Linked DNA regions of Tamandua tetradactyla. The protein of the gene in region 2 interacts with the protein of the main gene of each other region in a pairwise test. Links are inferred from orthologs where the notes say so. Each region holds a gene or a part of one and is shown on either strand. Other genes may lie near its edges.

The links.
Region 1: the proteins of FUNDC1 (region 2) and EHHADH interact in binary tests that used the Homo sapiens proteins (3 or more experiments, as listed by UniProt). The two-hybrid records come from large-scale screens. The link is inferred for Tamandua tetradactyla from reciprocal best matches to the Homo sapiens genes FUNDC1 and EHHADH.
Region 3: the proteins of FUNDC1 (region 2) and TUFM interact in binary tests that used the Homo sapiens proteins (3 or more experiments, as listed by UniProt). The two-hybrid records come from large-scale screens. The link is inferred for Tamandua tetradactyla from reciprocal best matches to the Homo sapiens genes FUNDC1 and TUFM.

The regions. Positions count from the first base shown.
Region 1 is NC_135336.1:3,926,991-3,938,307, forward strand, and holds the start of EHHADH (peroxisomal bifunctional enzyme), read right to left. Parts: upstream 4,892-11,317; 5' UTR 4,823-4,891; coding exon 4,749-4,822; intron 1-4,748. UniProt on the Homo sapiens protein: Peroxisomal trifunctional enzyme possessing 2-enoyl-CoA hydratase, 3-hydroxyacyl-CoA dehydrogenase, and delta 3, delta 2-enoyl-CoA isomerase activities. Catalyzes two of the four reactions of the long chain fatty acids peroxisomal beta-oxidation pathway.
Region 2 is NC_135353.1:126,930,421-126,940,851, reverse strand, and holds the start of FUNDC1 (FUN14 domain-containing protein 1), read right to left. Parts: upstream 5,207-10,431; 5' UTR 5,068-5,206; coding exon 5,040-5,067; intron 4,368-5,039; coding exon 4,211-4,367; intron 1-4,210. UniProt on the Homo sapiens protein: Integral mitochondrial outer-membrane protein that mediates the formation of mitochondria-associated endoplasmic reticulum membranes (MAMs).
Region 3 is NC_135349.1:25,024,622-25,035,423, forward strand, and holds TUFM (elongation factor Tu, mitochondrial), read right to left. Parts: upstream 4,567-10,802; 5' UTR 4,300-4,566; coding exon 4,257-4,299; intron 4,139-4,256; coding exon 3,944-4,138; intron 3,522-3,943; coding exon 3,355-3,521; intron 3,161-3,354; coding exon 3,056-3,160; intron 2,974-3,055; coding exon 2,809-2,973; intron 2,673-2,808; coding exon 2,540-2,672; intron 2,460-2,539; coding exon 2,355-2,459; intron 2,220-2,354; coding exon 2,068-2,219; intron 1,963-2,067; coding exon 1,843-1,962; intron 1,378-1,842; coding exon 1,204-1,377; 3' UTR 1,017-1,203; downstream 1-1,016. UniProt on the Homo sapiens protein: GTP hydrolase that promotes the GTP-dependent binding of aminoacyl-tRNA to the A-site of ribosomes during protein biosynthesis. Also plays a role in the regulation of autophagy and innate immunity.

The DNA.
Region 1 (11,317 bases), on a different chromosome or scaffold from region 2:
TAAAGGAATGAAAGTGGACCCCTACCTCACACCATCTACAAAAATTAACTCAAAACAGATCAATGACCTAGACATAAGAGCTAAAACTCTTAGAAGAAAACATAGGGAACATAGGGACCTTGTATTAGGCAATGGATTTTTAGACTTTACTCCAAAAGCACAAGCAACAAAACAAGAAAAATTAATTGTATTTCATCAAAATAAAAAACTTTTGTGCATCAAAGGACATTATCAAGAAAGTGAAAAGACAGCTTACAGAATGGGAGAAAATAGTTGGAAACCATATATCTGATGAGGGTTTAATATCCAAAATATATAAAAACTATTACAACTCAACAATAAAAAGACAACCCAATTTTAAAAGTGGGCAAACACAAAGCTAAATGTCAAAAAGCAGGAGATATGGGGGAGGGGATGGGATTCTTTGCAGAAGAAATGGAAATGTCCTCATATAGATTGTGGTGGTGAAGGCATGACTATGTGATTATACCAGGAACCACTGATTTTTCACTTAGGTTGGCTTGTATGATGTGTGAATAGAACTTTAAAAATGAATAGAGAGACACAAGTGCTGAAGAAAATGCGGAGAGAAATGTACCTATTCACTGTCGGTAGGGAGGCTGAGAGGTGCAGCCTATCCAGAGGGGCGTGTGGTAGCTCCACAGGAGGCTAGGGATAGGCTTGCCATATGATCCTGCAACTCTTTAGTTAGGTGTACTCTTGGAGGAGTGAGAGCAAAGCCATGAATGGACATTTGCACACTGGTGTTTATGGTAGCAGTGTTTGTGATTTGCAATTTAGGGTACATTTGAAGACTGGAAGGGCGAACTGTGGTGCGTTCATACAAGGGACTATTGTATGATGTAATGGCTGGAAGAAGCAATGAAGTTGTGAGGCTGGAACTTCGTGAATAAAGCTTGAGGACAGTAAGTTGAGTAAAATAAGCCAAAAAATGAAAAGACAAATATTATAATTCCTCACAAATATGGACTAATTATAGTGTACAAACTCTGAGAATTTAATTCGAGAGCACAGGTTATCATGGGAAGGCCTACTGTAATAGTTCCTCAATTGAAAGCTCTTATAGCAGTCACATCTATTTCAGAGTTATAACTGTTATTTCTAAATTCTGAGATGCTGAGCTCTTTGTGTAGTACCTGGTCATTCCATAGAACTTTGGGAATTTGTGTGACACTTGAGATTCAGAGTTAGAGTTCTGTGGCTGTGAACATCAGCAGTACCCTATACAGCAATTGTTAAAAATACTGAGAGGGCCATGGTGGCTCAGCAGGCAGAGTTCTTGCCTGCCATGCTGTAGACCCGGGTTCAGTTCCTGGTGCCTGCCCATGTTAAAAAAAAAAAAAAGAAAAAAAAATACTGAGGAAGTTATCAGATTTCAATTAGAGATATGAATGAAGCTGATCTGGGTAGGACTAAGGTAAATTAGACTCTACAGTAAAGGATAATATTGACCGTATTTTAAGAATTTCAACTTCTGTGTGAGGCTAAAGGAAAAGATATTTATTCAATGCAAAATTTATATTTTTGGTAGCATACTATCTATATGATCAGCTTATTTGAAAACCATAATTGCATGGCACCTTGAACAGGGAGTGAAATCTTGTTAGTTTGTACAGATTGGTGTGATGCCCCAATACAACCCAGAGTAAGCTGGGCAGAAGATTAAAAAGTATTTGCAAAGCCCCCTTGGGAGACTGGGGGAAAAGGTGGAAATATTAAACCTGATAGTTTCACAAGCATTAGAGACTGTCAGTTTGATGGGCCCAGGCCCTTGATCTTGGGACTTGCCCTTATGAAACTTATTCCTGCAAAGGAGAAGCTAAGCCTATTCATGATTATTCCTAAGAGTCACCCCCAGAGAACCTCTTTTGTTGCTCAGATATGGCCTCCCTCTAAGCCAATGCTGCAGATGAACTCACTGCCCTTCCCCTATATAGGAATGACTCCCAGGGATGAGCCCGGACCTGGTATCATGGGATTGAGAAAGCCTTCTTGACCAAAAGAAGGAAGAGAAATGAAACAAAATAAAGGCTGAGAGATTTCAAATAGAGTAAGAAGTATTTCTGGAGGTTATTCTTATACAATATATAGATATCCCTTTCTGTTTTTGGTGCATTGGAGTAGCTAGAGGGAAACACCTGAAACTGTTGAACTGTTATCCAGTAAGCCCTGATCCTTGAAGATGACTGAATAACTACAGAGCTTTTAAGGTGTGACTGTGAGTATGAAAACCTTGTTACTAAAACTCCCTTTATCCAGTGTATGGACAGACGAGTAAGAAAAAAAAAGACCAAAAAAATAAATGAACAATAGAGGGTATGGGGGTATGGGATGTTTTGGGTGTTCTTTTTCTTTTTATTCTTAATTTTGTTTTTGGATTAAAGTGTTCAAAAATCTATTGTAATGATGAATGCACAGCTTTACGATGATACTGTAAACCACTGATTGTATACTCTGGATGATTTTATCTCAATAAAAAAATCATTGACAAAAAAATGGGCAAACAACTTGCATAGTTATTTCTCCAAAGGAAATGGACAAATGGCCAATAAATACATGAAATGATGTTAGATTCTTTAGCCATTAGAGAAATGCAAATCAAAACCACAATGAAATACCAACTCACATCCACTAGAATGGCTATTATTTTAAAAAGGCAAAATAGCAAGTGTTCACAACGATATGGAGAAATAAGAATCTTCATATCTCATTGGTAGGAAAGTAAAATGGTGAAGCCACTTTAGAAAACTGATGGCTCTCCAAATAGTTAAACATAGAACTACCATATGACCCCACAACCCCATTTCTAAGTATATACCCAAAGAACTGAAAGCAGGGACTTGAACAGATATTTGTACAGCAATGTTCACAACAGCATTATTTACAATAGCTAAAAGGTCAACGTAACCCAAGTGTCAATCGACAGCTGGATGGATAAACACCATGTGGTATATACATATACTAGAATATTATTCAGCCATAAAATGTAATTAAGTTATGTTGTAAGCTATAACGTGGATGAACCTTGAGTGAAATAAGTCAGACACAAAAGGACAGATATTATGATTCAATTTAAATGAAATAACTAGAACATGCAAATCTATAGAGATAGAAAGTAGAGTACAGGCTACCAAGAATGAGGATTGGGGTGGTAGAAATGGGGAGTTAACGTATAATGGGTGCAGAGTTTCTGTTTGGTTATTTTTTTACCACAATTTATTAAAAGGAGAGAGAGAGAGCAAGAGAGAGGGAGCGAGCATAAGATTAAAGGGACAATGACAATTAAGTGTAATACATGATCCTGGACTGGATCTTATAAGGAAGGAGAAAATGCCACAAAGGACATTTTGAGACAATTCAAAAATTAGAATATAGGTTGTAAGCGTTCTATCAATGTTAAATTTCTTTAACTTAACTGTACTTAATGTGGGTTACTTAAGTGACTATCCTTGTTCTTAGGAAATAAACATGGAAGTATTCAGTGTTAAAGGAGAATGATATATGCAATGTGCTGTCAAATGTTTATACAACAGATAGAGAAATAGAGAGAGAGAGAGAACGATATAGCAAACGTGGCAAAATTTTCAAAGTTGGTAAATCTAGGTATCTGTGTGGGGGTATTTGGGAATTCTCTGTATTGTTTTTGTATTATTTTTGCAAACTGTAAGCTTGAATTTATTTCAAAATTAAAAGTCTAAAAAATAGGACATTTCTATTTGCAGACCAGCAAATAAACATAGGCATATTAAAAATAAATAAATACAAAAAATTTTTAAAATCAGCAGATCTCCTCATTCAGTCTCTTTTATTTCAGCAGGTATGTGATTAAGAGCTTCAGCAGGCAAGTAATTAAGAAAGAAAAAAAGATCTTTCTACACTTTATACAACATGATTCTTTGTGTATGATAATTTCTCTGATCTTACTCCCTGTAGATGGGTGGCTGACTTTTCTTGAGGCCGATGTATCAGTATACTTTTTCCAGAGATATGGAGACCTATAAAATAATTCTTTAACTTTCAAGACGACAGCACTAATCTCACATTGAAAAGTAATGCTCTAAGTATTTTGCACAGATCTGGGCTAAAGAGTTTCACAAGGAAGTTGAACTTTACCCCGTGCTGTTATAAAAGAAGATAAATTGCACAGAATCTTTTCAGAAAAATGTTACTTAAAGTGTAATTCTAACATAGGTTTTTCACTGATGCCCTAAGACCCTGAGGTTTAGAACAGATCAGGAGAAATAACCGCATTTCTAGGCCAGGACACAGTTCCCCTTTACTCACTGAGTTGATACGCGCGCGTGCGCGCACACACACACACACACACACACACACACACAAGTGAACCTTCACACACAAAAGCTAACCTTCTTTATTGTCCAAGTGCTAAAGTCCTTGATAACACATTGCTTATCAATCCATGCCAGAAAAACCGAAGCTGTAAGGAAGCGGAAAAGTTTGGCGTCTACAGACCGCGTTGGATCCCAGCCTTTCCCACCTACAGCCGCCATGGGCCTCAGTCTCCGTTTCCTTCCTAGTAAAGAGGGACGGGTTCCCAGCGGTGACTGAGCAAGCTAACCTATGCAAAGAGCCCGGGCGCGCACCAGGTCTCAGTCCGCATTAGCGTCTTTCTCACGTTAAAGCAGCAGGGGAGAGGCCGAGCCTCCGGAGCAGGCCGACGGGCGAGTCCGCAGCTGCCCCTGGCTGGAGATAACCGAGCCTGTTACCTGATTGCGTTGACTGGCGGGTTTCGGAGGCGAATCAGCGCCAGACGGCTGGGGAGCCGCGCGTACTCGACCATGTTTCCCCGTCGCTGAGGTGGCCTCGGTCGTCGCCGCTGGGAGAAGCCTCTTTGAAGGCGGCACCGGGTCGGCCCCGCGAGGAGGGGCGCCAGCTGAGCCAATGCGAGCCCCGCGCGGCTCGTGCGCCCGGCTCCGTCTCGCCAGCTGGCCAGCACCCTGGGCCTCGTGGCCCACCCTCAGACCAAGCCCTCTTCTCTCCCGGACCCGCCCACTCACAAGGACAGGAAGCGCTGTCCGAAGGCCTGTGGGGTCTACAAACGTTTGTGGTCCCTTTTTCTGTTTTGACTGCCATCCTTCTCCATATACGAAATAGAGCAAGGAGGACAGCGGTAAACCGGCTGGGACTGCGGCAAGTGGAGGTGTCAACTCCGGAGCCAAGAGAAACTGCCTTCTCACAAGACTCAGATTCACTGAACTGGTCAAGAAGCCCTCAGCATCATGTTGAGCGAAATAAGCCAAAAATTAAAGGACAAATATCGTGTGGTCTCACAAATATGAACTAATTATAATGAGCAAACTCTGGGAGTTAAAGTCTGAGAGCACATTTTACCAGGACATTGAAAAGGGATAGAGATTGGGCAAGGGAATCTCATGGGAATTCCCTTGCTAAGGAAATATAGAATGCTTAATAAGGTTGATTGTAAAGGTTCAGAAATGGATAGCACAATATTGTGTGATGGAAGCACAATACAGTGCTTGTAAATGAGAGTAACAAGCAGAGCGTGAGTATGGTTGAAAGATAAAGGCCGGGGTAATGTATGTCACCCGAAGGAAAGCTGGAGGATAAAAACTGGGACTGTATAACTTAATGAAACCTAGAGTGGACAATGACGGTGGTTAATTATAAAAAATAATAAAATTCTTACATGAACTAGAACAAGCGTACCTCACTATTACAAGATGTTAATAAGATGGGTAGTATACAGAAAAAAATAGTTAATGTAAACTAAGGTTTATAGTTAATAACATTATAATATTCTTTCATTAATTGTAACAAAGGCACTATACCCAAGCTAAATGCCAATAATGGGGGAATAAGGAATATGGGGTTTTTTTCCGGAAGCAATGAGAATGTTCTCATATTGATTGTGGTGGTGAATACATATTATACCAAGGGCCATTGATTGTACACTTAGAATGGATGGTATAGTGTGTGAATAAAACTGTTTAACTAAAAAATTTTTTTTTAATGTAAATGCTTTCATCAGTTTTCATCTTCATGATCCTTCTGGAGCAGATATCTGGGGCTCTGACAATGATGTGATATGATACCCACCTGAACACATAAGATACACACATTATGACCTAAATTAATGTGGTACTATCAACCAAACATTTACATCACACGGCAACCTAGTGAAGCCTTTGAGTTTTCTTGTCTGCCTAATGCTTCCCTTTTATCTTCTGCCATTCCTAAGGATTGTGGCTTCTAACACTTCATTCATTCCTCTATAAACTGAGTACCTACTGTACTGGTTTGAAACTGTTGTGTACCCCAGAAAAGCTATGTTCTTTAATCCTGGTTTAGTATTGTAGAGTGGGATCATTTTGATTAAGTTGTTTCCATGGAGATGTGAGACACCCAATTGTGGGTGGGACCTTTTGATTAGGTGGTTTCCATGGAGATGCATCTCCGCCCATTCAAGGTGGGCCTTAATCTGCTTACTGGAGTCCTTTAAGAAGGAATCATTTCGGAACAGCTTCAGAGCTAACGCGCACAGAGACCATTTGAAGATGCAGAAAGAAAATGCCCCAGGGTATCCAGAAGCCAAAGGACCAGCAGATACCCTAACCATTTGCCTTCCCAGCAGATACCCTAACCATTTGCCTTCCCAGCTGACAGAGGTATTCCAAGCCATTGGCCTTTCTTGAGTCAAGTTATCTTTCTCTGGATACCCTTAGCTTGGATATTTTTATGGCCTTTTAGAACTGTAAACTGGTAACTTAATACATTCCCTTTGTGAAAACCAACCCATTTCCAATATATTGCATTTTTGGCAGTATTAGCAAATGAAAACACCTACTATGAGCTAGGCCTAGCCTCAAGACTGTAAAAATAAACAAGGCACAACCCCTTCCCTCCAAAACTTTAGGCTAAAACAAGATTTCTCTAAGTGTGTTTGGTCCCACAGTCCCTCCAGTGGTCAGAAGGCAGCCTGGACGTTTCAGAGGAAAAAGCAATGAAATAATTTTGTTCACTGATGTTTCACAAATGTCAGCCATAATTAAGGATTTATCAGAGACATTCTTTTGCTTTTTGAAAAAAAAGTAGGTTCCAACTCTTAGCAAAGTAGTGATTGCCTTGTGGCCCTGGTAACAAATAGCAGTCAGACCCCATTCAATTCATCAACTGCCTCAGTGATCACCCCGTAAAAAGCCAGCCTATCAACAACAGTCTATCAATCCTTAAAAAAAAAATTAAATGTCATATTGGGAAGAAATGGTGCAACACCAAAAGCCCATATACAAAACAATATTCTTTTCTGTAGTATTTTCTTATTAAAATATCATTTGCTGGGTGGGCCACGGTGGCTCAGCAGGCAAGAATGCTCGCCTGCCACGCTGGAGGACCCGGGTTCGTTTCCCGGTGCCTGCCCATGTGAAAATATATATATATATATACATCATTTGCTGCACATGAAAATAATGGGTGATTTCAAACTGTTATCACAATATTAGTTTGGCTTACCTAGCACCACCTCCATGGAGCCTACTTTAATTCCCATATAGAAAACAATATAATCCTTTTTTCAACTAATATAATCTGAGCTACTGAATGGTGAGTACCTATCAATCTTTTTTTTTAATTTTATTTTATTAGAGAAGTTGTGGATTTACAGAACAATCATGCATGAAACACAGGATTCCTATACAGCACACCATCACCAACCCCTTGCATTGGTATGAAACATTTGATACAAGTGATGATAGCACATTTTTATAGCTGTTCTATTAATTATAGTCCATTGTTCAACTTAAGGTTTACTGTTTGGGTAGTGTAGTACCATGGATTTTTGTTAATATTTTTATTCTATTACCATAGATATGAACTAGCATTTCCCCTTTTAATCATATTCAGATATTTCAGTGCTGTTAATTGCATTAGCAATGTTGTGCTACCATTACTGACACCCATTATGAAAACATTTCCATCATTCCAGATAGGAACCCTGAACATTTTAAGCCTTAATTTCCCATTCCCTATTCCCATCCAATCCCCTGGTAAACTATATTCTAGCTTCTGACTTTATGAGTTTGCTTGTTCTAATTGTTTTATATCAGTAAAATCATACAATTTTTGGCCTTTTGTGTGTGGCTTATTTCACTTAACGTGATGTCTTCAAGATTCATCCATGTTGGGCAGTGCAATGGTGGCTCAGTGGCAGAATTCTTACCTGCCATGCCAGAGACCTGGGTTTGATTTCTAGAGCCTGCACATGCAAAACATAAAAAAAAATCATCTATGTTGTCTCATGCATCAGGACTTCATTGCTTTTCAGGAATGAATAATATTCTACTGTATGAATATTACTTATACATTCCATCAGTTGTTGGGCACTTGGGTTGTCTCCATCTTTAATAATGAATAATGCTGCCATGAACATTGGTGTGCAAATATCTGTTCAATTCTTTTGGGTATATGCTGAGTAGTGGGGTTCTGGGTCATATGGCAGTTCTATACTTAGCTTTCTGAGGAACCACTAAACTATTTTCCACAGCAGCTGTACCATTTTATATTGCCACCAGCAATTAATGAGTGTTCCTATTTGTCTGCATCCTCTCCAACACTTATTTTCTGTTTTTGGAATAGCAGTCTGTTCTAGTTTGCTAGCTGCCAGAATGCAATACAGCAGAGACAGATTGGCTTTCAATAAAAGGGGATCTATTTAGTTAACATACAGTTCTTCAGAGGAAAGGCAGCTAACTTTCAACTGAGATCCTTTCTTACGTGGGAAGGCACAGGGCAATCTCTGCTGGCCTTTTCTCCAGGCCTCTGGATTCCAACAACTTTCCCCAAGGTGATTCCTTTCTGCATCTCCAAAGGCCTGAGCTGAGCAGTGAGTGCTGAAATGAGGTATGCTGAGCTGCTCTGGCTGTGCTATGTTGAGCTCTCTCATTTAAGCACTGGCCAATAAAATCAAACATCATTCATTGCAGCGGGCATGCCTCCTAGCTGACTGCAGATGTAATCAGCAACAGATGAGGTTCACGTGCCATTGGCTCATGTCCACAGCAATAGAACTAGGCACCTTCACCTAGCCAAGTTGACACCTGAATTTAACTACCACACAGTCATTCTAATGGATGTAAAACGGGGGTCTCTCTTGTGGTTTAGATTTGCATCTCCCTGATGGTTAATAATATTGTTGTGCATCATTCAGCCATTGCTTTCTATTTGGCCATTTGTCATTTGTATATTTTCTTTGGAGAGATGTCTGTTCAAGTGTTTTTCCCATTTTTAAATTGGACTGTTTGTCTTTTTGTTGACATAGTTGAAGTATTTCTTTATATATTCAGGATATTAAACTTTTATTGGATATGTGGTTTCTAAATATTTTCCCTCACTGTGCAGGTTGTGTTTTTACTTTCCTAAAGTCCTTTGAGGAATAGAAGTTTTTTATTTTAATGAAATCCCATTTATTTGTTTTTTTTCTTTTATTGTGTGTGCTTTGGGTGTAAAGCCTATGAAACCATTGTCTAACACAAGGTCCTGAAGATGCTTCCCTAAATTTTCTTCTAGGAGTTTGATACTTCTAGCTCTTATATCAAGGTCTTTGTTCCATGTTCAGTTGATTTTTGTATATGGTGTGAGATAGTGTGTTGCTCCTTGATTTTATTTTGGTTTCTGTTTTTTTTGCAAATGGATCATTCCCCACACCATTTGTTGAACAGACAATTCTTTCCCAGTTGAGTGCTACTTGCTCCCTTGCCAAAATCAGTTGACCAGGGAGGTGCAAAGGTGGCTCAGTGGCAGAATCATTGCCTGCCATGCCAGAGATCCGGGTTCACATCATGAATCCTGACAATGCCTAAAAAAAAAAAAAAAAAGGGAAAAAAAATCAGTTGGCCATGCATGAGTGGACTGATTTCTGAGCTCTCAGTTCCATTGGTCTATATATCTGACCTTGTGCCAGTAACATTGCTGCTTTGATTGTAGTGTCTTTATGATAAGTTTAAGATCAAGAAGTGTGAGTCCAGATACAAAAACTCAAAAATGGACAGCACAATAATACCTAATTGTAAAGTAATCATGTTAAAACACTGAATGAAGCTGCATCTGAGCTATAGGTTTTTGTTTTGTTTTGTGTTGTTTTGTTTTGATTTTACTATTATTACTTTTATTTTTTTCTCTATATTAACATTCTATATCTTTTTCGGTTATGTTGCTAGTTCTTCTAAACCAATGCAAATGTACTAAGAAATGATGATCATGCATCTATGTGATGATGTTAAGAATTAATGATTGCATGTGTAGAATGGTATGATCTCTAAATGTTGGGTTAATTTCTTTTTTTCCGTTAATTAAAAAAAAAAAAAAAAGAGAAGGGATAATTGGAGATGAAGGGATACAGACTGTACAACGGGACTGGATATAAAAACTCAGAAATGGACAGCACAATACTACCCAATTGTAATGCAATTATGTTAAAACACTGAATGAAGCTGCATGTGAGGTATAGGTTTTTTGTTTTTGTTTTTTTTTGTTTTTTTTCTTTCTATTATTGTTTTAATTCTTATTCTGTTGTCTTTTTATTTCTTTTTCTAAATCGATGCAAATGTACTAAGAAATGATGAATATGCAACTATGTGATGTTATTAAGAATTACTGATTGTACATGTAGATTGGAATGATTTCTAATTGTTTTTTTAATTCTTTTTTTAATTAATTAAAAAAAAAGTGAAAAAAAAAACAAAACAAAACAAAACAAAACAAAACAAAACAAAAAAAAAAAAAAAAAAGAAGTGTGAGTCCTCTAACTTCATTCTTCTTTTTCAAGATGGCTTTAACTATTCAGGTCCCCTTACTCTTCCATCTGACTTTGATGATTGGCTTTTCCATTTCTGCAATGAACGTTGTTGGAATTTTTTTTCTTTTTTTGCATGGGCAGGCACCGGGAATCGAACCCAGGTCTCCAGCACAGCAGGCGAGAAGTCTACCTGTTGAGCCACTGTGGCCCGCCCGGTTGTTGGAATTTTTCTTGGGATTGCATTGAATCTGTACATTTCTTTGGGTAGTACTGACATTTTTCTAGTTTGCTAGCTGCCGCAATGCAATATATCAGAAACAAAATGGCTTTTAAAAAGGGGAATTTAGTAAGTTACTAGTTTCCAGTTCTAAGGCTGAGAAAATGTCCCAATTAAAACACGTCTATAGAAATGTCCAATTTAAGGCATCCAGGGAAAGATACCTTGGTTCAAGAAGGCCGATGACGTTCAACATTTCTCTCTCAGCTGGAAGAGTACATGGCAAACATGGCGGCGCCTGCTGGCTT
Region 2 (10,431 bases):
CCAAGAGAGCCTCTTTTGTTACTCAGATGTGGCCTCTCTCTACAGCCAACACAACAAGCAATCTCACCACCCTCCCCCTGTCTACGTGGGACATGATTCCCAGGGGTGTGGACCTTCCTGGCAACGTGGGACAGAAATCCTAGAATGAGCCGAGACTCAGCATCAAGGGATTGAGAAAACCTTCTTGACCAAAAGGGGGAAGAGTGAAATGAGACAAAGTGTCAACAGCTGAGAGATTCCAAACAGAGTAGAGAGGTTATCCTGGAGGTTATTCCTACACATTAAGCAGATATCACCTTGTCATCCAAGATGCAATGGAGAGGCTGGAGGGAACTGCCTGAAAATGTAGAGCTATGTTCCAGTAGCCATGTTTCTTGAAGATGATTGTAAAATGATATAGCTTTCACAATGTGACTGTGTCATTTTGAAAACCTTGTGTCTGATACTCCTTTTATCTACCTTATCAACAGAGGAGTAAAACATATCGAATAAAAATAAATAATGGGGGAACAAATGTTAAATAAACTTAGATTGAAATGCTAGTGATCAATGAAATGGAGAGGTAAGGGGTATGGTACGCATGAATTTTTTTGTTGTCTTTTTATTTATTTTTTCTGAATTGATGCAAATGTTCTAAGAAATGATCATGATGATGAATATGCAACTACGTGATGATACTGTGAATCACTGATTATATATAGAATGGAATGATCATATGTTAAGAATGTTTGATTTTCTTTGTTGTAGTATTTTTTTTTTAAATTCAAAAGTTAATAAAAAAAAAATTTTTTTTTTTTAAATTAGAGCTAGAAACAAAGAAGCCCTTCTCAGGAATCATGTGTGTGAGCAGTGTGTTACTACATAGGCATTTGTAAAGGCTCATCAAAGTTCTGTATACATATTCTCTCGGTTTTGTCCTTGAAAACTTTATCAGAATCTGTAATGGGGGCCTTTTTTAGCTATTGACTGACTTGCCAAAAAGCACAAAATGTATTTGACTTGGCCCAATACACTATATGCTTTTCTTATGACTAGGGATCAAGTATCTCTTATCCATCTTACCGCCTGACAGCCACTTTAAGAAATTCATATTTGTAGAGTGCCCGTTGGGGATTTGGCTCTGTGTCTGATTCATTGGGAGTTAACATTTCAGAACTTCTCTGTGGAGGGGGATATATTTTGATTTAGAATAAATAAGAAACAAAGGAGATAGTTTCTCCAGCCCAACAGCAAAAGTAAAAAGAAGTCTGTTTCTCCTTTCCAGGAAAGCTTTTGGAGTGTCCCTGAGTTGATATTGTAGACTCTCTAGGAAGTTGGTTTCCCAGAGTAAAGAAATTCTGCTTTTAAATGGGTTCCATCCAACATTCTTCTTTACTAGTATTTTACCCATAAAGACTTTTATTTTTCCTTGGTAAAAATCCCACTGTATGTGTGCATAATAAACAGCAAAGGACGGTGAAAAAAAAAAAAAGCACAATTGAAAATGTCTGATATTTGCTTCAAAATAAGGGATGGTAAAAAGAAGAGGTGCAACTTGGAGGAAAGAAGATTGGCTACTGAAACTGGATGATGAGGTACTAAAGAGTTCGCTATACCCTTCCCTCTACTTTTGTTTAAGTTGAAATTTCCCATAATAAAAGTGTTTCATTTTGTTTTTTTAATACAAGATGCTCCATATACCTAGCCAACCTGTACTCTACCCAAACCTTCTGTTCCAACCTAATTTCCAAATGAGTCATCACGTTTGCTCGTGCTATATATTGCCCTGTTTCTAGGGGGTTCTGCCTAGCTCTACTTATCTAAAGCTTTCCTTTAAGGTCTAGTTTTATGACTACTGCAGTACATATTTCTCATTTTCCTTACCTATATCTCTCTCTCCTTATAGTAAACCTGTTTTGTCTCATCTATCCTAAGAGTATCAGCTCCCATATTACTTTTGTGGTTGACTTTCTCTTCAGTAAGGTCACATATTCCCTTCAGAATTCCAGATCCCTTCTGTGCAAAAGAATCCCAGATTTCTACCTCTTACATTTCCAATTATATGCTGGGCATCTTTAAGACAGAACCACATATTCAAAATATCCCAAAGCAAACATCACCTTTTCAATGAAATCAACTGTTGCCTAAGGTCCCAACTTATAAGTGATAGCTCTGCTCTCCAGCCTGGACACCTCATATTCATCTCAGACTGCCTTCCTCATTCTCTCCTTGGTCCAATTGATTGCCACATTCTATACATTCAAGCTTCAGGACATTATTTGACAATGTCTTCTCCTTTCCCATTCTCCAGAAAATCATTACCCTGCTAATGGTTCAGACTTCCATTACCTGCTTCTGGACTACGCTAAGGGCCCTCTAACTGGTTTTTCCACTTTCAGTCTCTCCTAGCAACCACTCACAAAGATATATATATATATATATATATATTTAGCTTATTATGCTAAAAAAATCTATAGTTCCCTACAGCTAAATATGTCCTCAGTCTTCCATTCATGTCCTGAATTAGCCTGAACTGTTAACTGGCTAACATCTATTAACTGTTCCTCCTTAATGTATGCCACGATATTGCATCAGCTTTATACCCTAAGAAAATTGCAAAAATGTACTAGACAGAATCTATAGTCATTGCAACAAATCACCTGTAAAATGTAAGAGCTCCTGGGCAAACACCTGGCTAAAACCCAAATACATGCATTACTACAGAGAACAAACCCCTAAGCAAAGGAGTCAGCAAGGAAGGCCACAAGGGGGGGGGGGGGGGGGGGCAAACATGCCAAGTTTTAAGAATACCCTGGGCAGCATGCTCCACAAACGTGTATCCACTGCTTAAAGGTATTAGCCACTAAAATGGACCCACTAATCCCCCTGCTGTTCCTAGGCTCTCCAAGCAAATTTCTGCCACTTACAGAGATTCTCATCAAGCTTACATAAAGTTTGATCATGCTATTTCTCAATTTTATCTTTTTGTATTTTTTAAGATTGGGCTTCAGGCCCTGACTCACATTAACCAACCACCTATGGGACCAAATTGTGAGCTTATATAAGCAGAAGGCCAGACCCTGAAAATTAAGGGGATCAAGGTACAACCAACCTGTGGAGAATCATCTGAATGATCAGGGTCCTGACCAGGAATATCCTAATTGCAGATTTTATCACACAGCAGCATTAATAAGTACACATATGAACACAAAAACTGCATCTCTCCATCACAGAATCTTCACAATGAATATTTCAACCCATAAAATGACATTTACAAGAATGCCTGGAGCAATAAGCCATTGTTCCAAGGCACATGTAAAACACAAATCAAAAATTTTAATTTTATATCTATCAAATGTAAATATGTAAATTAAGTCAATGTAAGATGAATTTAACCTAGAACCTAAGAAAGAAAGATTATTCACAAGTTAAGAACCCTCACTTCAAAAGTTCTCTCTGGTCATAAATATTTTCAAAGTAAAGGGTCAAACCCTTGTTTCTGACCTCTGCTATTTGGCTAATCTTTTATTCACAGAATATCAGAATTAGATCCATAGTAGCAATTATGTAGTCATGTAGTCTGAAGTGTTAACTGGTTAGGTTTATGCCGAATAGTGGCTCCTCCTTAATGCACTACACAAAATTATTACAGAATAAGCAGTCAGCCCTTTAACGCCAACACAAAACCAACGTTCTACAATAGTTCTTCAAAGCACTGGCATAGTCAGGACAAGTCCACAAAAAACAGCAGTAGCATCTAGGATCATCAATGATTTTCACTGAAGATTTCACACTGCTGTCTACAGGGTTGACAATTCTAGAGATCCATTCTACTGCGCATGTTTCTCCGTTTTTCCAGGTAGTAGCACTGGGTGATAAAAATTATTTACATATAAACTCTTCTCATATAGTTCTTCCTATCTAACCACTATCACTTTATTAGATGCACTAAGTTTGCTGAAATTGAAAAAGGGGAAAATATATCATCAAAAGAAGAGTGAGGAGGAACAGTGGAACAGTGGTGGGTTTCAGGAGGAGGATTATCAAATTTCTTCACATTATCCTGTGAAGAAAGAGGATTATTTCTTCACAGAGAAAAGGTCAACACAGTGCTTTTCGAAGATTAACAGTGTAAACCCACTGTATGCTTAGTGAGTCTGGCCCATGTACAAAAAGGCAGCAGTCAAGCTAAGTTCCTAATGAAAATTAATGAAAAAGATGTTCTTCTCACCAGCCAGTCACTCCACCCATTACAATCTGAGTGGCCACTGAGTATTTTTCTACCATAGGTCCGGAACTGTGGCCAAACACTCGATTCCACCAGTGATGTCTTCTTGCATACTCAGTTAAATCCAACACTTCGTAAGAGTCGTCATCACTTTCATATTCTTCAAAATACAAAATGGAAAAAATATTTTGAGTAAATCATGTCAGAAATGTCCTACGCATTTTTTTTAAAAAACCTGTTAACCATTCACTGTTACGTTAGGCCTATAGTTAAAAACGCCCAGGTGGAAAATGCTTAGTTTGTTAAACTCAAACCCTGAGCCTCGGGCCTCAAGAGTAAAAGGCCTAGTAATATCATTCCCATCTTCTTCCCGAAACCCCAGGGGCCGGTCTGGAGCCAAGGGACCGGGCCAGGTCAGAGTTAACACAGGAGTAAGGGGTCACCTCCTAAATTTCAGAAGAGTTAGAGCCAGAGCAGACTCCATTTTCATCATGGGGGGGTGGGGGGTGGCAGGGAGTGTATGGGTTGAGGGAGGGTCAAAGTTAGCAGTCGGGCGAGAAGAAATCACTTTAGGGTCAGACTAAAATAAAACGTTTGCAGACAGAGTTGAAAGAAAGGCAAGGGGTGGAGCAGTGTTGGAGGAGGGGGTTGCTTTCCGCCTGCCTTCCGCCGACCGGAGGGAGATGTCCACATAGGAGGGGGTGTTCAAAGGGGCGGCCTCAAAAAAAGAGCCCCAAGGATCCTGCGGGAGGGGATGAAAGAGCCGCCCTGAGAACAAGGTCGGGAGGTGTGAGCCGCGTCCCAGAAACTACTTCGGACCCGGGCTGCTCACCTTGGGAAGGGGGGTTCCGGGTCGCCATTATTCCGCCGGCGGCCGGTTCTGAGGGTGGTCCCCACCTGCCCTCCTCTCCCCTGTACTGTAACGGCCGCTCTAGGCCGAGGAAGAAGTCTATGGTCTCTTTTTTTCCTTCTCCGCCTCCTTCAGGCACGTTGTCTTGTCCCCGCCCCCTCCTCGCCAGCGCGGGGACTTCTGCGCAAGCGCAAGACGAGACTCAGGGGTAGGTGTGTGGGTAGAGTGGGGAAGAAAGGTAGGTCGAAGCGCAGTCCTGCGAGTGCTTGTGGGAGTTGTAGTCCGTTGCCCTCCACACCCCAGGCCCAATCGACCCCCCACCCTGGATTGAACATCTTTTTTTTTTTACTCTTGAATTGTGTTTCAAGTCTCCTCAAGATTTGGGGGCTGTCACATAGTGGTGAAAAGGGAAAACCATCTTTGCATTTTGAACGCTGTATCAGAATTCAAGCCCCTGAGGAAAAAGGCTTTTAAAAAGTGGTAAGAGAAGCCTTGTTTCAAACCACACTGCTTTAAGGAAGCAAGGGCTCACACGAACTGGCAGAAAATTTGTCTAATGCGCTGCTGCAGGAAATTGGAAACTTTTTTTCAGCGTCTGCTCCACACATTCTTTGCTAGGAGCCCTAGTGAGGCAGCCTGAGAACCATTTTAAAAATCATCATCATCATTACTATTATTTAAACCTGACAAAATAATGAGGTCAAGTTCTTCATCCCGAAGTCCCATGGCATTCTGTAGGATGAGGAACTCTTGATCACCAAGCAGATAAACAAAGTTCAGAGATAAACCAGCGCCCAAACATGAAGTTCAAGCGCATTCGCTGTACAGTTAAACTAAACAGCAACCAGCTCCCGAGTTAGTTTTAATGGAAAAACAAGGTATTCTGGTATAGACCAAATTACTTAAAATATTAACTTGCATGATTACACTTGGCTTTTCAAATCCCGGAGCTTTAAATGGAAGAGTTGGTTCTCTCAAATTCCTCAGCTTGCAGCTCCCAAAATATAATTCTAAGACTGTCTGGAGATGTTAGTGTTCTTTTAGAACTGCAAAAGACAGTTACTTTGTCTAAGACTCCACTTTTCAGAAGCAAAAAGACTTTAGGGGAAATGACTTGAGATCTCACTGAAATTAAAGTTATTTATTTTTTAGTTCATACAGTCCTTCCTCCCCATTGCCCACCCTCTCCTACTGAGGTGCTGACAAACAGAAATAACCACTGAAAGGAAAGGAGAAAACAAGAAAAAAGGAAAATATAAAGTGAAAGACCAAAAGGGAGGGTTGACTGGCCAATGAAATCCGAATAACGTGTTTAAATACTTCTAGCAATGTCAGCCAACTACAGAAAGAAGTCACTTTTCTGTCAAGGAAATGGCATTTAGAATCAACTGGCTATGAAGAAATGAGGGACAGAATGAAAACAAAACACTATTCTTAAGATGCCAATGAATAGACTTTATATGTATTATATGTATTTATATGTATTAAAAAATGACCCAAAAAATGGCTTAAAAATCAATCATTTCTCTAAAGAACTTAAGGCCTAGAAGGAAGTTTTTAATGCTTTACCATTTTATCTTGCAATGATACACCTTGCCTCACCTTAAGGAAGTTAGTTGTATAATGTATTGTTCTAATGTGGATTTTATTTTTTCTTTTCCAGTAGCAAAAGAGCTGTCATTTTGTTGGCTGAATGACAAGTGGTTTAATGTGTAAATTGTATATACAGACTTTCTGAAGAGCTGTGATCCACATGATGGGTCTCAAGGGGTTGATTTTTTTTTTTTTCATTTCCAATTTAAGAAGTGGAAGTAAATTTTCTTTTCAGTCAGAACTGATATTGGTGCTGGAGAGCCCCCAGGAGTTCTCAGAGAGGTAAAGACCTCAACCAGGAGCTGGTACCATGAGGGTTTTTTACTTAGTCACAGGAAATTATTCAAGGACCAGTCAGTGTATACAGCCAAAGAATCCGAGGACTAGTCAGTGTGTAAAGCCAAGAAGTTTAACACATGGTGTAAGTCCGTGGTCACAGGGGGTGAACGGGGTGGGGTGGGGGGGAGTGAACGTGGGTGTTCTCCAAAGGAGAAGGGCTCTGAGCTTGGGATTCCTGCATTATAAAGACTTGGAGAAGCCCTTCCCTTTCTGATTGTGCTAATAAGGGATTGATGAGCTGTACTTTTTTTTTTTTTAACTTTTTTTATTAATTAAAAAAAAATTAACAAACAAAACATTTTGAAATCATTCCATTCTACATATATAATCAGTAATTCTTAATATCATCACATAGTTGCATATTCATCATTTCTTAGTACATTTGCATCGATTTAGAAAAAGAAATAAAAAGACAACAGAAAAAGAAATAAAATGATAATAGAGAAAAAAAAACTATAAATACCATACCCCTTACCCCTCGCTTTCATTTACCACTATTTGAAACTGAATTTATTTTAACATTTGTTCCTCCTATTATTTATTTTTATTCCATATGTTCTACTCTTCTGTTGATATAGTTGCTAAAAGGAGCATCAGACATAAGGTTTTCACATTCACAGAATCCCATTGTGAAAGCTATATCATTGTTCAATCATCATCAAGAAACATGGCTACTGGAACACAGCTCTACATTTTCAGGCAGTTCCCTCCAGCCTTTCCATTACATCTTGGATAACAATTGATGTCTACTTAATGCGTAAGAATAACCTCCAGGATAACCTCTCAACTCTGTTGGGAATCTCTCAGCCATTGACACTTTGTCTCATTTTACTCTTCCCCCTTTTGGTCAAGAGGTTCTCTCAGTCTCTTGATGTTAATTCTCAGCTCATTCTAGGGTTTTTCTCAGTCCTTTGATGCTGAGTCTCAGGATGAGCTGTACTTTTCATTGGTTCTTTTCAGTGCCCTCCTAAATGAGGGCTAGGTATGCACAGGCCAAAAAGAACGTCTTACTATAAGGTCTTAGGGTCGCTTCCCCTACTCTCCTTTCCTATCTAACTGCCTCAATATCCTCTTATCTACAATTATACATCATAATTAGGGTAGTCCCCAACTTTTCACTATCTAGTGTTCCAAAAACTTATGAGTAATTTATTTGAAATTGAGACCATTTCCCATTTAATCCATAATGAAGCTGTAATGAAACAATTGACCCCTATTCGTTTTTGATTTCCACCTTTCCATAATGTCCTTGGAGACTTCATTTGTTAAAAACACTTTAATCAGAATTGAGAAAAACAAAATGCAAAAGTAAATAACAAACTACAGAACACATCACGCTCCCTGGACAATCTCAACTGTCACTCCCTGCTGAATGTCTGCATTTGGATGATCTGCAAATCCCAAACAATTCCACACTATCTTTGAAGCAACCCAAATGAAAAAAAAAAATGTCACAGTCACTTTTTATTTTTCCCTTCCCTTTTCTTTTACAGTAAAGCAGTGATTTCTTCTGTGCTTGCACTACCTAAGTTGTGTTCTCCAATCTCTCCTTGATGCTCTTCAAGTATTTAGATCACATCACCCTTTAGACCATTGCAGTGCCTCTCAACTGACTTCTTCATCCATTTTCTTGCCACTCCCCACTCCACTCCAACTAAAATCAATCTAATCTGCCACCAGATTTTTCCTTCTAAAACTTGAATCTGATCATTGCTTTATCTACTTGAGTACATGTAACAAACTGCCCATCAGTTAAAAGATCAAGTCTAAACTTCTTATGGCCTACCACAGGGGTTGGCAAACTTTTTTCTGTGCAATAGCAGATGGTAAATAATTTAGGCATTCTGGGCCACATATGGGTCTTAGTGGCATATTCTTCTTTGTCTTAGAAAAACAAAACAAAACAAAACATAAAGAAAAAATAATCCTTTTAAAATGTACAAACCGTTCAGTGTTCATGTACTTTACAGAAGCAGACCATGGGATGAACTTGGCTTATAGGTTATAATTTGCTGGCCCTTGGCATTTAGGTCCCTTCACATTTTGGACCCAAGTTACCTCTCTGGTCTCCTGCTGCAGATTGCCCCAAGGTTCCTCCTCTTCTAAGCTGACTGCAATTCCTAAGTTTTCTGAATGCACATTGCTTTTTCTAACCGCTGTGACTTGGTACATGCTCTTTCCTGTACCGAAACCAGTGGCTTCCTTCTCTGCCAGGGAAACACCCAGGCATGCTTTAAAACACATCTTAAATTTCTGGCCCCACACCCAATCAAGATGCTGAGTGAGGTGCTTCAGGGCTTCCTCCCCAACAGAAGATTTGAACAACCAGCAAGAACTGGCAGAAACATCTTTTCAAAGGTCCAGAAAAAACAGTTAGAGGGCTGCAGTAACAGGGTGAGTATGGAATCAAGAAAAGGCAACTTAAAAGCAGGAGGATTTCCTGATACCCCAACTGACCCCTTCCCCACCCCTCACCAGAGGTGTGGAGCCAGCTGGTGCTCCCCAGTGCAAATCCCTAGTCCCAGTTCCAGTGGAAGCAGAGCAACCCTCATTTACATACTGGGAACATATATGTCTCACCCAACCTGTCTGATAGTGCCTAAGGGTTCCAGAACTTGTCCAGTGTGTAGAAGGCAGCTCATGGAATGCTGCTACGAAATGCTGTGAGAGAGCAGTCAAGTCATGCTGCCTAGGGAAAGGGATTTCTGTCTCTAAGACATGTAGTGTGGTGTCCAGGACTATGAAGAAACTGTGTCCTAGGAAAAAGGGACAATTTTGTCTGTGTAAATGGGAAATTCCTAGGTCCACAAGCACATGCCTAAGACAAGATGCATACATAGAAAGGTTTAGGGAGACCCTTAGGCTTTAGCCTGGAGCTGTTGTCTAAACTCACTGTATTCATAAATTCTGAAACAGAGCTTTTCTGCACAGAGCAATCTGCAAAGACAAGGAAAGGTGTTTTCTTTTTTCTCATCCTCCTCCTCTTTCTTCTTCTTCTTCTTTTTTTTTTGGTCAGCTCCTGGTATTCAAAGAGAGCTCTGTCATAACAGTAGCTCGATGCAAGCTTAAGGAACAGATGCCTCAGTGTTTAAATTCCAGTGATAAGACATTAAAATATCAACATGTCCAAGTTTCAACAAAACATTGCAGAACATCCAAACAGTAAATAATGGCCCAGAGAAAGAAGAAAGTTAAAACATTAAAAATCATCAATGAAAAACTATCTTTCAAGAAAGTTATAATAAAGACACTTTTAAACAAATTTCACCATAGGAAATTCTTAAAGATGGATTCCATGCAGAAGGAAAATGATCTTGGATGCAAGGGGTAATAGTGAGCAGGGATACTGGTGAACACGTTTGGTAATCTAAGTAAACATTGATATATGTAAATGTAATACTATTGTAGGAAACAATGAAAAGGTAGAATTTAAAAACTGGAC
Region 3 (10,802 bases), on a different chromosome or scaffold from region 2:
GGGGATAGGTGCTAAATTACGGGTTTATGGACAAGAGCAGAACCAGATCCGGAAAATAGAATTGGCTCTAGAGCAGGTGTTTTTTTCAAGGACGCAGTTTGGAATTGCAACTCTGACTTGGACCTTGGTTTCCTTGTCTGTAAAATGGAGGTAATCTCACCCTTTTAGGGCGATGAGCATGTGGCTGGTGCACACAGGTGCTTGATGGTAGGGGTATTTCCACTGGACTCAAAGCCAGAGAACATTGGCTGAGACCAGACAGGAATAATGGTTAGCTGTCAGGGTAAATTTCCCAGGGTGTGAGGTAACCACTGGGTATTGGGGGTTTGGGGGTTGGAGAGCAATGGAAGGCAGGAAGTGGGAAGCTTTCCACTGGGCTTGGAATGTCTGAAGTACAGCCCAAGTTAGCTAAGTCTTTTTGCGTCATGAAAGGACTAAGTTGGTTATAATTCTTTTTATTTCTAAAAGCACTAATCAGCTTTGAAAGGGAACTTAGCCTTCACTCAGCCAGAAATTTTCCTGTAAGACCCAGACTGTTGGACATTGAGGAGGGTAAAGCAAATAAAGAAAGGTAGTTTTGATTAAGTCTTTCCTTGGGTCCTGCTCCCTTCTAGTCTGTTGGTGACTTGTCAGAGTTCATCAAAACAACTCTTAGGTTGAGGCCACAAATCCTTCTCTGGGCTGCTGGTCCTGGGTGTGTTGTCTCTGTCCTTTTCAGGTTTCTTATCTACTCAGCATTTTAATCCCTGCATAAATGTGGCAGGGATTAAATATGCTGCGATAATAACATATCCCTACATAAATGTTAAATCTCAGTAAATGTTGAAAATACTAATTCGATAGTCTCTATAACGTCTAACCCTGTGCTTGGAATTAAGTATGCAGCAGCAATCCATCAAAAGTGACACCACAGAAGTGAAATTACTCTAGGATGATTAATAACCCCCTGGGCTTGTTTCCTCTTGTACCCTCCTGGCTCCTCTAGCTAATGCACAAGCATAAGAGACACAGGTGAGTTTACTATTTATACAAGTTTATTGGCCTATCCCAGCTGGCAGGCCACCCCTACTGAACAGGGAGAGTGTTTGTCTCTTTTTTCAGTTGACAAGAAGAGCTTCAGCTTGTGCCCTAGAATGCCTGAAGCAGCTGAAGACTGGCCAGCACAGCCCCAATGCAGCAAAACCCGAGCATAAGTCCATGGACTCAACTCCACTTGAGTTCCTTGTCCTCCTCAGTCATGGCTGGCGTGTCGGTGACAAGGCCGGTGCCAATGGTCCGGTTGCCATCTCGGAGGGTGAAACGCTGGCCCTTTTCTAAGATCATTGGCTGCCGCAAGATGAGGGTGAGCTTCAGGTCCTCCCCAGGCATGGCAAGCTCCTGAAGGAAAAAGAGACAGGAATGAATATGGCTTTTGGGGTACCTTAACTGCTTCTGCCTACTATAGAGGTTCAGTTTCATGGGACAATGCAGCAGGTGATGTTGGGCAGATGCAAGGGCAGGAAAGCATAAAAAGGACCAGTGATCAGTATTCCCAAGGTTATGTTTTTGGAAAAACATTTTGGAAAAAAAAATTTTTTTTTTTTGGTTTAAATTATGGGCTATGTAGAAGTTGCAGGACTTCTGAGTCCCACATAATAAATAACAGGAACTTTTAATTTTCCTAGGGATAAATACTGGTAGAGTAAGCTTGCCTACTTCAGCCCAGGGTACACGGTCCAGACCCATACACCTCCACCCGAGGAAATCAAGACATCTTGGCATCTTTGGCCTCCCTGTAAACAAGGTAGAGCTGACTGGAAGAGGACCCCTTCCACTCCTTCACATCTCTCTACACCTGCATACCTTCTCTGGGGGCAGGATGACACGACAGGCCATGTCCCAAGTCAGGGAGAACATGACAGGAATGAAGTGAGACACAAAGGGCTTGTGGCGACCACCCTCCTCCTTGCTGAGAATGTAAACCTGGATAAGAAAGCAGGGTGAGGTAGAGCTGGGCCTGGCTGGAAGCACTGTCTCTGCAGGGGGCTGTTTGGCTCAGCCCTGCTCACCATCCCCTAGAGCCCTCACCTGTGCCTCCACCTTCTGGTGTGGCTGGATGGAACCTGGCTTGGCCATAACTAGGCCACGCCTCAGGTCCTCCCGCTTCAAGCCTCGGACCAAGGCCCCAAGGTTATCCCCTGCCTCTGCCCTCTCCAGGCTCTTGTGGAACATCTCAATGCCTAGGAGGAGAGAGAAAGGAGGGAGGAGAAAGAATAAAGGAGGAGGGTTTGGGGCAGAGGAAGAGCACAAGGGATGTGCCAGGGGAGAGGTCAGCATGGAGCCAGTCCCTGGGTGCTGAGGTTTCATTCCCATACCTGTCACCACAGTGCGAATGTTCTTGTTATGTCCCAGGAACTCACATTCATCCCCTTTTTTCAAAATGCCACGTTCCAGCGTACCTGTCACCACTGTGCCCCGGCCTGGGAGGGAACAGGAACGGATGTCAGGGACCCTGGGCCTGCCTCTTGGAGAGGGAGTGGTGAACGAGCCCAGTCCTCACCAGGGATAGAGTAAACCGATTCTATAGGCAGCAAGAAAGGCTTCTCCAGGTCCCGGGTGGGCACTGGAATGTAGGTGTCCACAGCATCCAGCAGCTTCTGTACCGACTTCAGCCCTAGCTCAGGGTCACGTTGCTGGGAGATGAAGGTGAAGGACTCTTGAAACCTCCATTCTGCTTTTACTTAGCACAAGTCTGCCCAGACTCGGGGCAGAGCCCCTGCCCATGCAGCCCCATCCTCCACCAGCAATCCCTGCTGTCCCCACCCTCACCTCAAGCGCACAGAGGGCAGAGCCTATGATGACTGGGGTCTCCTCCCCTTTGTAGCCAAACTCAGTGAGCAGTTCCCGGATCTCCAGCTCAACGAGTTCCACCATCTCAGAGTCCTGGACAGCATCTGCCTTGTTCACATACACCACAACGTGCTCTACCCCAATCTGGAGACAGGGACAAAGATAGGGCAAATGTCTGGAATGGCCCAACCCCTACTCATTCCACCCCCATATGAGCTCTGCATACCTGTTTTGCCAGTAATAAATGCTCTCGGGTCTGGGGCATGGGACCGTCATTGGCTGCCACCACCAGGATGCAACCATCAAGGGGGGCAGTGCCTGTGATCATATTCTGGGCGGAAGAAATGGAACCCTCAGCCTAGTAAAGTGACTTTCTCAGCTCCATATCCATCTGACCCAGCCATCTCACCACCCACTACCCACGGCCACAAACTCACACATCCACTATCAACCTCCTCCCACAGAACCCTAACTTTTATCCTGACAAGAAGCAGTTCTGGCCCTGCCGTGTGCAGCAACTCTCACCTTGACATAATCTGCGTGACCTGGGCAGTCTGTGTGGGCATAGTGGCGAGCTGCGGTACTATACTCCACGTGAGCCGCGTTGATTGTGATCCCGCGAGCTCGCTCCTCCGGTGCATTGTCAATTTCCTCATACTTCTTAAACTTGGCCCCACCTCCCTCCGCCAGAACTAACGGAGGGGGAAAGAAACCCCCTCTCAGCTCAAATTCTAGAACTGGAAGCAGGGCTCAGACCACGCCCCTAGGCCCCTCCCACCTAAACAAATAATAGTCTGGAAGAAAGATTCTCTCCGCCTCCCTCAAGTCTCGAACTCCTGCAGCAGAGGTAACTTTGGATCAGACAGGAACGTTAAAAGGCCCCAGGGGTCAGCCAAGGTAAAGCTTCCTCTTACAGAGTACTCCCACGGCGAGCGCGTCCCCCAAATGCATCGCAAAGTACTAAGTGAGCAGGGGACCTCTGTCTCCTGGATCCTCCATTCTACCGCCCGCCGGAGACCTGGCTTCTGGGGTCACACTAAACACCTCCAGCAGCCACTCTGGGCTCCAGGTCCCGCCAATAGATCGGGAGCTGCCACACCCCAAGCCCGCTCACTCTTGGTGATGGCCGCAGTCAGCGTGGTCTTGCCGTGGTCCACATGGCCGATGGTGCCCACGTTCACATGGGGCTTGTCGCGCACATAGCTCTTTTTGGCCTCCACAGCCAGGCCCCGGCACAAGACGGGCAGCGCCGGGGCCTTCGGCGGCCGGAACAAAACCTGCAGCACTGAGGTGGTGCCGGCACCGAGACCTGCCGGGGCAGAGGCTTGGCGTCAGAGCGCGGGTTCGAGCCCGGCCACCCCGACACCACCCACATGCCTCTCCCCCACCCCCATCCTGAGCCACCACCGCCTTTCCTGCTCTCTCACCACTGAAGCGGGGCGTCGCGCGCAGCAGGGTCGTAGCAGCCATTGTGGTCGTGCTTGCGCCTCGGGCACCGGACCGGAAGCCCGCTAGTGCCAAAAAGAAGGACACTTGGGGTTGGAGGCTATTTCCGGCAAGAATAGGGGCCGGCAGGGCGAGGCTGGGCGCCTCTAGCTACCAGTTTCTATGGTCGTTTCCGCCAACTTCCGGGCGCGGGACGGAGGACTTCTAAGAAGGCGCTGGTCGCTGGTGTCTGCACAATACACATGGGCCTCGCCGCCTGCGGGACGACGGAGTTTTCTCTGGTGCGCTCTGGGGCCCTCCCATGAGGCACCAGGGCCCTCCCACAATGCACCAGGGCCCCGAAGCATCGTGGGCATTGTAGTTTGTAGGCCGGCGGGTCGGGAGGGCACTTTGAGTCTGGGTTAGGTAAGGGCCCGCGGGGTCGGCAGCGTCCTGGCCTCCGAAAGGCAAAGACGGCCCTAGCGCGGACTGTTGAGGAACGTCCCGGGCCGGCGGAGAGAGGCCGCGAATCCCCTGGAGTCCGACTTGCTGCGCGCGGCTCGCGGGAGGCCGGGCGGCCTCCATGCCGCAGGTGGAGGTAGGGCCAGGCCCGGGGCGCCTTTTGGGCGTGGGATCAAGTGTAAGCCCTCTGTCCGCTAAACCTTATCCGTTAGATGGAAATAACAGTATCCACCTGAGAGGAAATGAGACGGGCCGAGATCAGGGACGGAATCCTCTGTTCTCCTGGTCGAATAGTCCCTGCCCCACAAATAGCTGCCCCCTGGCTCACAACTTCCTGGACTCTTTACTGCCCGACTTTACAGGTCACAGTCCCCAAGACATTCCTGTAAACCATCAGCAGCCCAGGGAGAAACTCTCCGATCGTCGCCCCGCCACCACCACTACCGCCACCTCCCGACTCCCGCCTCAATTTTATAAATGAGGGTGAAGGACCAACCTAGGGGGGCGTTTAACGGCAGACTGAATCTTGTTCTAGGCTTTATCCCCATCACCTAACGCGGGGCGGGGCATGCAATGAGTGCTCAATAAATGCGTTGACTGAATGAATGAGTAATAACTTTTAACTTTCACATCCATCGTTTCATCGCAGCTTCCCAACATTACTCCAAGACAATAATAGCAGCTACTTAAACCCGATTAAGTTTCTGAAACTCACTAGATCCTGTGACTATGTTGACTGGCTTCCTTACCTGGAGATTATGATTCAGAGGGACTGGGCACTATCAGGGAAACTATATTTATAACACACACACCCTCCCTTTATTAAGCACAGAGGAGTTTCGACAACTATGAACTACAGCTTTTTAGGTATCAGGTGTTGTGCAGATGCTTCGTATTGGTACACAATTACTGCTTCCAGTGCTACCCTGTATAGTAGGATCTGTTCTTTCTCCCATTTTACAGGTGAGAAAACTGAGGATCAGGGAGGTTAAGGAACCTAATGCAGCAAAACTCCAAAACATAGCACTAAACCAATGTACAGTACTATCACAGAACTATAATTTTATGGATGGTTCAGATAAACCAAGAGACCAGCCAACACCGCTTTCCTCCTGGTCCTCCAAACTATCACCTTTTCTTAGAAAGGGCTGGTACAGTGTAAAACTGTTTTCTTTGTTCCTACCCTTTACCTCTGTCACTCTACTCTTGGAAATTATCCTAAGATTTTTGTGATCACTAGTGGGTTATGAATTTTTTGGGGGGTGGTATGTGAACTAATGGATTCTCTTTTAATGGTGTTTGTGTGTGTGTATTGTTTTAAAAAAAAGGAAAAACCTGGCACAAGTAAATGCTGAGTTTCAAAAGATCAGTCAATTTAAAAAGTATTCGGTAAATAATATTATGGGTGGCAAAAATTTTTGAAGGGGGTGCCTTTGAATGAAGTTTCAGAAGCACAGGGCTAAGAGTCCAAAGGAAGAAAAAAATATTATAGAGCTGTTAACTACAACATCTTTTATAACAGTGAATGGATCAGTCGGAAATCTTAATTTACAGGTAACAGAATTTATATTGGCTGGTTTAAGCAGAAGAGGGATTTGTTAAAGAGTACTGGGCAAGTGATTAAATAAATAAATAAATAAATAAATAAATAAATGAATAAATAAAAAGTTCTGGGCAGGGATGGGGAGGGCTGGATAAATAGCTGCTGAACTGACCTGAAAAGAAAACTGCTGCTGCTACCACTGTCTCCAGATACTAAATGCCAGGACTTAGACTTGTCTGCTACTGCTCGCGGCACTGAAACCACTTCTGCATCAAGAAAGTGACCTCCCTCCACCCTGCCCCAAAGCCAGACAGATTCAAAGTCTCACGTGGATGTGCCTGATTGTGGAAGCCTTGATCATGTAAGTGTTCTTGTATCAGAGGAGGCTGAGAGAGATATTGTCAACTTTGATGTTGGGGAAGCAGGACTGATAGGGAATTTCCCTAGAGGTATAAGAAAGTCTCTTCAAAAGAGACTTTCCACAGAAAGTTAAACATAGAATTACTATATGACCTGACAATTTCACTCCTAGGATATACCCCCAAAAAACTGAAAGCAGGAACTCAGACAAATACTCTTATATCTGTGTTCTTAGCAGCATTAATCACAACAACAAAAAGGCAGAAACAACACAGGTGTCCATCAACAAATAAATGGTTAAACATAATGTGGTCTATCCATACCATGGAATATTATTTAGCCAGAAAAAAGGAATGAAGTTCTGATATATGCTATAATATGGATGAACCCTGAAAATATTATGCTAAGTGAAATAAGCCAGGCACAGAAGGACAAAAAAGTGTATGATTCCACTTACATGAAATATATAAAGAAAAAAAGTAGATTAGGGGTTACCAGCGGCTAGAGGGAGGAATGAACGCGGGATTACTGCTTAATGGGTATAGGGTTTCTGCTTGGGGTGATGGAAAAGTTTTGGTAATGGATGCTGGTAATGGTAGCACAACATTGTAAATGTTATTAGTGCCACTGACTTGTATACCTGAAAATGATTAAAAAGGCAAATTTTATATATATATATATATATATATATATATATAGTACCACAATTAAAGAAAAAGAAAGATGCCCAGCCATGCCTGTGACAAATACAATGAAAGAGTAGAATGATCACAAATGTCCAGTATGTAGATATGGTAGCATTAATTGTGACATATCCGCTAGATGGAGCAGGCTCAGAGTTGCAGAGATGGAGCCAGGTACCTGTAAAAATGCTTGTGAACAACATAAAATGAACCAGGGAGGAACGGCTCCATGGATGGGAGAAGGCAGGGGATAAAGAGATTAGGACAAAGGAAGTTGAAAACAATTGTGATTTCGGCAGGCTGTGAATCTCCTTGGAGGAGGAGAGAGATTTTCTCTTTTAAACATTTTTGTTTTTGTCATTACAGTTAAAGAAAGAAGGGTTCTTTGTACAGAATCTTTAACTCTTAAAAAAGGTGCTCTTGAAATCAAAGGGCTTCTGGGTTCCTCCACCCCCGCAGCAGGCCATTCATTCTGCTCTATGGCAGACATTTTAGCTCCAAATTAGCAGCAATTTTCTCATCTCCCTGCAGGCAGGGCCCTGATTTTGTTCATCAAAACAAAAGGCCTGGTCTGGCCTGGTCTGGCTGCCCTTTTCCCAGCTCCAGGAATAAATCCTGACAGGTCTAATACAATTCCGCTGGTCCTGGAATCCCCTGGTCCTTGCCAGGGCATTTGTTTAGGGTTGAGTATATGACTCCTCTGGGGCCAATAATTGGTAAGAGGAGATCTGTTTGAGGAAACTTCCAGAAAAGAATTCCTCACTTTAAAGAAGGAAACACTGGAAGCGATGGACCTCTTTCTGACTCCACATGTGGCTGGTTCTGGCAGGGAGCGGGAAACACTGTAGCCTTCTTGCTCCCAGTTGGATGACAAGGCCAGAACCCAGAGGAGGCCAAAGCATAGAGGATCCTAGAAGGCTGGATTCCTTGTGGTAGGAGATGATGACTGTCTTTATGGTTTAAGCCAGAATGCTTCAGAGTTGTCTGTTATTTGTAGCCCATTACAGCCTGACAGACACTCTTACAGCAGTTGGTACACTGAGACATATGTCCTGGTTTTGCTTGTTTGGGAATACGTTGTGACTTGAGCAGGGTGGGGGCTGGGCTTCACAAATCTCTCCTCCCCTGTACCTGGCTAAACAGTTGAACTGTTAGTGAGCTTTCTCAGCTGAAGGGTGCTGCCACTGTGGTGCTCACCATTTACAGTGTCCAAAATAGTACTCTTTTTTCTCTCCCACCCCCTCATCCCTTACATATGTCAATAAACAGAACCACCATTTCCCTTGCCCTGTTCACCTAGCCCATTATCCAGCCCTGCTGGTTCTCCAGAATATACCCCAAATGTGGCCACTCCTCAAGTAGGCCCTGGGGGTCTACTTGGTGGCATTGTTGGTCCAGGTTACCTCAAGAGCTTTCTGGTGGGTCTCCCAGCTATTATTCCTATTCCTAATACCTGTCAAATCCATCATCCACACAGTAGCCAGATCAAGCTTTTAAAAATATGCATCAGCAAAAAATTCTCACAGAGATAATCTTACCCTCAAAACAATCTTTTGAATTATGTGTTCTTCTTAACTTTATTTTACAGTGAGTTTAAGTGACTTGTCCTGGGGCCCAGACCTAGTTTAATTTTTCTGTCACTAAATCATGCACCATCACACTATTGATTATTCTGAGCTTGTGGCAACCCAAAACTTTATCCTACTTGTCTCAGTGTTTAACCATGTCATCCACATTTTATATTTGTGCGGTCATTGGAGTTCAGTAATGTATATATTTTTCTTTCAAAAAGCATTAAAAATTTTCTAGTAAGCAGCTACAATTCTGCTTGGAGTTTGGTTTACTTTAATAAATAAAACATATGGTCCCTGAAAAAATAATTTATCAGAAATTAATATTCCCTTATTAACTCCTGTGGCACTTAGAATAACATCCAAACTTCTACTTTAAATGGACAATTGCATGGTAGTTTAATTATATCCCAATAAAACTATTTTTTTAAAAAAAATCATCTCTTTGGCCCACAAGGCCTGCCTGATCTGGCCCCCTGCCTACTCTTTGACTCTCTTGTGATATGACTTTCCTCTCCCTTGCTCTCTCCCAGCCACACTGCCTTCCTTCCCTGCAAATGTCCTGCAGTTGTTCCTATCTTGGGGTCTTTGCAGATGTTTTTCCCTGTCCCTGTAACATTCTTCACTGCAGCTTTCTTCATGGTTTATTCCCTGTCATCATTCGGGTCCCACCTCAGATGTCACCTCCTCTAGCTAAAGCAGCCCCTAAGTCACCTTACCAATTATCCTCTTCAAGTTTCTTATCTCAGTTTACTTGTTTATTTGTTTCTCTCTCACCAGCTCATGACAGTCAAAGCTTATTATTATTATTTTTTTTACTCTAAGAATAGTACCTAACACTTAGGTGAGCAATAAGCATTGGTTTAAGGAATTGTTTCTTGAATGGATTATTTAGGTTGAGGATGTATTATAGGTTTATGAAGTTTCCTGTTTTCAGTGGAAAGCAAATTTTGGGTTCACATTCATTTTCCAAATAAAAGGTGAGTAGCTGTAACTTTTTGGGCTTCTGCTTATTATCTATAAGATGGGGGCAGAGTGAAGAAGTTGAACTGTATGATGTCTAAGATTTCTTGGGAATGAGAACTGGGCTGGCCCAGCAACACAGTGGCAAATCGAGGACTAGGACCCAGAGCTTTGTCCTTGATGTCTCTTAGCAAACCCTCATTGGAAACTCATCCTTCACTCCTCTCTTGCTCACCAGCCAGCCTTGCAATGCCTCCTCATTCTGGACATCCCCTTTGAATGCCAACTCCACTGCTCTGATCTGGTCAGACTGGCATCAGCCCTCTCTTGGACTGCTACACCAACTGCCTCTGCCTCTAGGCCTAAACTCCATTCTCTAAAAGCAGTGCTAAGAGACTGAGACCAAGTTCAGGTAGGATTGTTTGAGCCATCTGCATCCTGGTCCCAGATGCCCTTCCAAACTGCAATCTGAGCTCTGATCACACTTGTCATCAGATGTGACTGGGGAGGTCCCAGTTGGAAATACTTAACAAATGTTACACAAAAGCTACTAAGTGAAAAGCACTCGAGAGATGGCATAGGTGGGTCCGCCTAAAGGAGGCCACACTTCGGAGCCTGAAAATGGAGGAAGGCTAAACTGCCCATCTTGGCAGAAGGGAAAGGAAGGATGTGTGTAGGCTCAGAGGCAAGCCCGAGTGAAGCAGAAGTATTTTCGTTCTCTCAGAAAGTCCTAATTGAACAGGGTATGATTTAGTGGGGCAGGAAGTCCAGGCCAAAGCACCAAGGCTGAATTTGATGTCCCAGAAATGAAGATGAAATAGGAGAAATCCCCATCTCTTAGGGATGAAGGAGAGTCAAGATGACTCCCCAAAAGATCGCATGAGCAACCACGCCACCCTGGGTCAGAGACCCTGGTTTTTCTTCAAAGAGCCACCTTCTGCCATGTTCAGCCCATGGAGTTTGACT